Oryza sativa Japonica Group: one gene and its partner. The main gene of each other region encodes a partner of the protein of the gene in region 2 in a complex. Links are inferred from orthologs where the notes say so. Each region holds a gene or a part of one and is shown on either strand. Other genes may lie near its edges.

Region 1 (2,603 bases), on a different chromosome or scaffold from region 2:
GATAGAGAATTATATGAGGAAACTAGTAGCTAATAACCAATATCACTTTCCAGTATAACTGGGTTTCACAAACCATGAGCAATCTCCCAGAGTTTATTATCACAAATTGTGCCTTTTGTGGCTGCTTAGTTATTCTTCAATAAAATGTTGTTCATTAAAAAATCAGAAGGAAAAGCATTCACATTGTGGCGGACGCAAGATTAGCAAAACATCCAGAGTAGGTACTTGAAAGTTGAAGGAACTTATACAGTTATATGCTAGTTGAGTAGTATATATGAAATTGTTCATTTTTTCCTGGGACCTCAGGTTTACTACCTTACCTTAGTACGATGCACGAACATTATGTGAGCGAGCTACAAATCAGAACTAAAACCTACTGGAAGGAAGTCCGTTACACAATTAGTCACTTAACAAAAGCAATAGGACAAAATTAAATCAGTTACTAAGCGTGATCTGGCCACGACACTAAGAAAACGGTTAATTTCTCCCAAATTTTAACATCAGTAGGCATAAAGTAACAATGCTGAGAAAATCACAAGCTCAATTTTTTTTAGAATATCGATCACAAGCTCTAATGCTTCAATTCTTAGACGATTACACAGAGATACCACCAGTAATTTGTTTTCTTTGGAAGAAAATACTACTAGTACAAGATAATTGAGCAAAATAAATACCTACTGGGCGCCGTCCTCGGGGAAGCGCGTGTCGACCCCGCCGTGGCCGTGCTGCCCCGCAACGCCGGAAGCCGCAGCCGCGGCGCCGCCCCCGCCGCCGGGACCCGCGGCGGAGGCACCTCCGGCGCCGTGCTGGAGCTCGATGACGAGCCAGCGGACGGCCTTGCTCATCTGCTCGAGGCGGACGGCGCTGATGGGCTTGATGCCGGGGGCGGCCAGCGCCGCGGAGGAGGAGGAGGAGGCGCCGGTGGCCTCGTCGACGAGGCACTCGGAACCGATTCGCTGGCGGATCGACTCGACGAGCTCCTCCGCGTGGTCGCAGGCGACGCGGAAGAGCTCCCACCGCTGCTTGAACGCCTCGAGCGCCGCGTCCGTGGCCGCGTTCTTCTCTCCCCCCGACTGCCCCCGCGCCTCCACCACCGCCGCCGCCGCCGCCACGAACTCCTGGTACGCCTCGCTCAGCTCGTCCACCGTCGCCTCCATCTCCCCTCGCCGCCGGCGGCTTCTCCCCGACACGCTCCACCGCCTCCGCCGCCTAGATTCCCCACCAACTTGACCTCTACTCGTCACAGTGTCAAACTCCCAAACCAGTAGCGTCAAAAAAAAAAAAATTCCTCGTGGGCCGCAGATTCGCGGCCCACTTTAAAATGGGCCGTCTCGTGCTGTATCTTCTTACTGGGCCGCACGTTAAAACTTGGGCTGGGACGCGAGGCGAGGGTTTTTCTCGAGGGATAAATATGGGCCTCGCCGCTCGCCGGAGCGGCGGTGGCTTCCCCCTCGCCGACGGCGAGGCGGGCGACCCCGGTGGGATCCTGTGAGCCGGCGACGGCTTCCCCCAACTCCCGCCTCGCCGCGCGCCGATGTTGCCGTCTCCCTGCGCGATTCCGCCGCCGCCGCGATGTATTTATTCGGTGTTCGCCATTTCTAGTCAATCGTCAAAGGTGATTTGACTGTACCACGATGATTTAATTTCATATGCAGTACTGGTGATGATGAGATGTTTGCTTGTTGTCAATTTTGTTCGCCTCAAATTTCATATGCTATTATTGCTGAATCGTCACTACCCGTAGGTTGTTTCTCCCGTTCATATGGAGTAACTGAAATATGAGGCCGAGATCTTTAGATTAGATCACCAGATAGACTGATGGCTCTATCACTGGCACACAATCGATGCACTACATCTTTTTTTTATTAGAAATGAAAGGCAGGGAATTTGTGGTGAGCAATGGGGGTGAAGGATGTGAGAAAGGTAGAGTCTTACATTAATTCATAACATGTCCCTGTTCCCAGCAAATTTTGCCGTGTTGTACTGGCATGGCATGACAGCGTACCAAATGACTTTCCTCAGATAATCCATTCACTGCGACTTGGTAGTTGAGTGTTGCGTTGTCTTCCGATAGTCTCAGTCAAGAGTCAACCTTTTTACCTGGTTAAACTGGAATCTTATTCTTTAATGCTAATACGCAGTGTGTTCCCTCTTTTAGTTGTCCAAAGTGGGAAACGCAAACTGGTAGATAGAAGTATCTCTTAGTTCCATCTTCAAGGCCTTACCAGTTGCATGCATGAGTATGATGCTCAGGCAGAAAACTCTGTTTAGAGACAAGGTTTATGTTGCTCTCCCTGAGCAACCCACCGATGGCAAGTCCATACTGTCTTGGGTTATCGATCATGCATCCAGTAGCACGGAGATCATCATCATCCACATAATTACTACATCGAACTTTGGTTAGTTATGTGCAGTGGCTTTATCTAAAGTTATTTTTCTCGATGTCAATAAAGGAGGTGATATAGTCATATAGCTATCTTATGATGTTTGTACCATAATCTTTAGCTTCTGGCTTTCTGCCATATTCTGGTTTATTTCCTCTAACCATTACTTCTTGTTTCTATTGTGTTTTCGGTTGCATAATCCTTAGCAAAGTTCTATTG
Region 2 (4,146 bases):
AACATGCATGCCACATTCATTTTGAACTGTTAAGCAAACTAATCCTGTAGGTCAATAGGCACAAATGAAGATTTCCTCAGGGAAAAAAACTAAGAAAAATGCATTACCATTGTGCATTTCACATTCAAATGCAAGGAGTTTATGTTACACATTTGCAATGCAAGAAATAGTCTGGCTCATTGCATTATCAATGGACCATAATGAATTCCAATGGTAATAACTTTAATAATTTCATAAACATGATCTACCAAGAAATAATTTAAATAGTATCATCAGAAGTTTACCTGCTGCAGAAGCATTGTTGGGAGGTCCTCCAAGTCACAATTGTAGCTATTTACCAAATATCCATCGGAGGGCTTCCCAGTCAATGATCCAGCAATGCTTGGGGAGCCTTCACCCATTAGACTAATTTGGCTATCTTTCACGATCACCTTAGTATTGAACTGTGACCTGGATTTGTACTTAAGTTCATGGTTATCAGAAGGCTTTGCAATCCGATCTGCAGCAAGGATAGGCTGAGGAACTTTCAAGCATAGAGACCAGGAGGAAGTTCGAGAATGCCAAGTAGGAAGAGAACGCAAATGGAGATATGGAACCCTGCTGACCTGCAATACAGAAAGGAAATTTAAATAATGATCTACATGCAAATATGTAGCATCAACAAGCTTATAGGAGCTATACCACACTCTCAAGCTCCACGAGTACTTTGTTAGAAAATATCCTGTGAGCCACTGTCAAGCAGAAATGACCTAGCAGGCCATAATCATCACCTGCAACCTGAGCAGGACTTTGGTAGCGACCAATGTTAAGGGATTTCTCCCTGACCTTCCTAAGAATGTTCTCATGAAACAATTGTAGCAAGTAAATTTCCAGACTTCTGGGATTAGGAAACCCTGTCACGTCTTTTCTTAAAGGGTCCAGCTTCCCATTCATAGTGACCAACACAAGATTTGAGGCATCCTCTGAATTGGCATGGTCTTCATGGTCTACCATTTCTGAGTCACTACCATCTCCAGAATGAGCAAGCGAGAGGCACAATGAACATTCCTGACCAATAGCTAATTGGAGAAAATCTTCACGCATTCCAGTCACATTGATGCCTTGAGATTGGACAAATGTCTCACGGATCACCATATCAAATACCTACAAAGGCATACACTAAGCTAAGCCACAGAACGATATACATAAATAAATAATGATAAACCCGGGGAGGGAGGGGTGGTGGTGGTGCAAGATGTCATCACATGATATACAATAATTTTCCATGATGCTATAGTTAAAACTTAATTAAGAGCATTCTATACAGGAATTCTTAGCATGCCAAGCAAACACTTAGCTGACCTGCTCCTCAAATATTGACTTGTGGATGTTGCGAAGAATAGAATGTGCATGTTTGATGGATTTATTGACATCATCATTGTCTGTTTCAGAGGAAGTGATGCTTGAGATGCCATCTTTCAGTTTATGACCGTAGTTTTCCACACCATTGGCACTGTCCCCTCGAAAATTAAGACTCAAGAAACGGCAAGATTTTTGAGGGACTTGTACGGACAAAGTGCCTGATGAGTCTTGGTCAATTGGAATCAATGGTAATGATGACAGTCGAGGCATTGCTGCTGTGTCCAATTGAGAAGTGTCGATCAGATCAAACATGAAGCCCTCACTTCCTGGACCACTTCCACCAAACCGTTGCCGCTTCACTTTCCAGTTCTGCTGCAATCTGCCACCAATCCGCGAGTAATTCATGGTGCAAACTTGGGTGAAGTGGTATTGAAATAACAACTCAAGTTAAGCAACAAGACATGCCTGATTAATGAGCCATAGAACCTAGACTCTTTTTGGAACTGCTGCTCCATTGTTTTGGCAGATTGTTTGAAGTAGCGTGACAAATGCTGCGAGGACACAAATGAAGATCACAACAGGAAGCATGATAGATGCAAGACGGAAGAGGAAAGTGGCAAGCGATTACAGAAACAAATTGAGTTTGTTTTAGGTTCCATTTTGTTCCTTAGCCGTGAATTGAAGTAATCAAACATAGGCAGTAGGGTGACATACCCGAACGCGCTGAAGCTTGGTGGCTGCAGAGACTGCGGTGTCAACTAAGGTTTCGGTTGGCAGCGATTTGGGCTTGAGCATCCCAGCGACTGCCACTGCATCATTGGCTTCGACCTGCATTATCAAGTAGGATTGTCTCCTCTGTCAGGAATACAAACAATCGCATGCAAATAGAATGGGGTTTGCAGTATTGTGTGTGGGAAAACTGACAGTGGAGATGAGGTCAATGACGACGGAGAGCTCCTGCTGCGCCTGCTGCAGGCTCTCCATCATGCCCTGCCACGGCCATGCCTGCTGCTGCTGCTGCTGGGCGGTGTCCTTCTTGGGCTTCTTGGCGTCCTTGTCGATGACCCAGGAGAAGTCGATGCGGCGGATGGCGGAGAGGCGCTGCTCCTCGCTGCTGGTGTCGCTGCGGAATCCGAATCTCAGTGAACGGAGAGAGGTGGGGGTTAGGGTTTCAGGGGAAGGGAAGAGGTTGGTTTGGTTTGGTGCTTACGGCGGGTAGTGCTCGTTGCCGGCCTCGTCGATGGCGTGGAGGCGCTTGATGGGGAGCTTGTCGAGGTCCACCCGCACGGCTTCCTCCATGGCGAAGGCGAGGCAGCGGCGGCGGAGGGCTTAATTAGATCGGAGACAATTTTTTGAGTGAAGGAGGCACTGCCTTGGGGCTCACGAGTCCCGCTCAAGAGCGGAAGGGATCCCCCCGCGGGAAGCAGAAGCGGCGGCCGGCGGGGTGGGGGCGGCCGCCGGCGAGGTCGTCGGGCGGCGGAGTGAGGAGGAGCGAATTCTCGATCGAGTTTGGGTGCTGGACTTTGGAGTTTCTTCTCTGGAAGAGAGTATGATGGGCCTTTTTTGACTTTGGGCCGGCCTAACAAGTAAATGTTGCTGGGCTGGCCTGGACCAGTTCCAGACTTCCACTACTCCGAATGGGCCGGAGTTTCTTTTTTTATTTTCCATTTCTCAAGGCCCCTCGGGAGCAGGAATTATCTCCTAGCAATGGTAAAACGAAGGCTTATATCAGAGAGCTTTTTCTTATCAATGCCTACAAGACAACAAGGCCTGTTCTTCTGTTGTTCGTCCATGGATCACAAGTTTCAGGGAACAAAACTCTCTTTGGTGCCGGTGGCAATGATATTCCAAACTCAACCGCAAGTTGTGATCAATCTGCAACGTATCAGGGACGACGGATATTTCACAAAATAAGTAGTAGTATGTCGATTCTTCAGTCCAGCTTCTGAATTCCAGGCCTTTTGAAGTTGAGCAAGCAAGTAAATTCAGATAATCTCTCTGCAAACCAACTATACAGTGAGTGACTGAATTTCTACTTGCGCGGATCGATGTGCCAGAGCATTGCCAATCACAGAAACAAGTTGCAGATGAGATTGTCATACTAGCTTACAATCAATGCCACCATCCGCTCAAAACTCACAGCAATCAATCACAACCTGAAGAAACAATGAGGACAAACCACTGTCCACCGGATCGAGTTGGCAAAACCTGGACGACCAAGGGGGTTCGGAGAATAAAACTCCGACCCCTATTCATGAAAAAGAAAAGCACCGCAAACAATTCGTATCATAATTCTTGCAGGTAACACCGTAACACCATAAGTTTGAGAGAAATGCGCCAAATACAACAAATTTGGCGATTTGTTTGTTTTCTCTTTTTCAAAGGTAGCATATAGATTTGCCTTGATAATAGTATCAACAGATGCAGCGCTATAACCATATATACTCCATTTCTTCTCCATTCCCTTGCTTCATTGATTTATGACATACTCAGAAAGACTAAAATAAGCATCAATTTCACACTTCACAGGCCTGTTGTTCACAACTACTGAGCTGCTGTGTTATTGTATTGCTACTAATCAATACCAGCATCTCTTTAGAAAAATCATTAGCGATACACAGCTTACATTTTATTGGATATCACTGTCATTGTATCACATCCACTCCTCCCAGATCAACATATGCAATCATCATGCCTATGCCAGTTTTTTGCATGGTAAATTCTACTACTACCAGTGGCCCAGTGCCATGTGATGTCAACCCCAACAGCTTTGTATATTATTACCCCTTATTATAAACGCATCAT

Evidence for each region.
Region 1: mediator of RNA polymerase II transcription subunit 17 (region 2) and mediator of RNA polymerase II transcription subunit 32 share a complex: the UniProt entries of both Arabidopsis thaliana proteins name them as parts of the mediator complex. The link is inferred for Oryza sativa Japonica Group from reciprocal best matches to the Arabidopsis thaliana genes AT5G20170 and MED32.

What each region holds. Positions count from the first base shown.
Region 1 is NC_089044.1:22,150,908-22,153,510, reverse strand, and holds mediator of RNA polymerase II transcription subunit 32, read right to left. Parts: upstream 1,248-2,603; 5' UTR 1,158-1,247; coding exon 675-1,157; 3' UTR 522-674; downstream 1-521. Other genes in the region: U-box domain-containing protein 70-like, read left to right, coding at 2,237-2,399. UniProt on the Arabidopsis thaliana protein: Component of the Mediator complex, a coactivator involved in the regulated transcription of nearly all RNA polymerase II-dependent genes.
Region 2 is NC_089046.1:28,095,926-28,100,071, reverse strand, and holds the start of mediator of RNA polymerase II transcription subunit 17, read right to left. Parts: upstream 2,847-4,146; 5' UTR 2,641-2,846; coding exon 2,552-2,640; intron 2,465-2,551; coding exon 2,266-2,464; intron 2,170-2,265; coding exon 2,056-2,169; intron 1,893-2,055; coding exon 1,807-1,892; intron 1,721-1,806; coding exon 1,342-1,720; intron 1,144-1,341; coding exon 682-1,143; intron 606-681; coding exon 285-605; intron 1-284. UniProt on the Arabidopsis thaliana protein: Component of the Mediator complex, a coactivator involved in the regulated transcription of nearly all RNA polymerase II-dependent genes.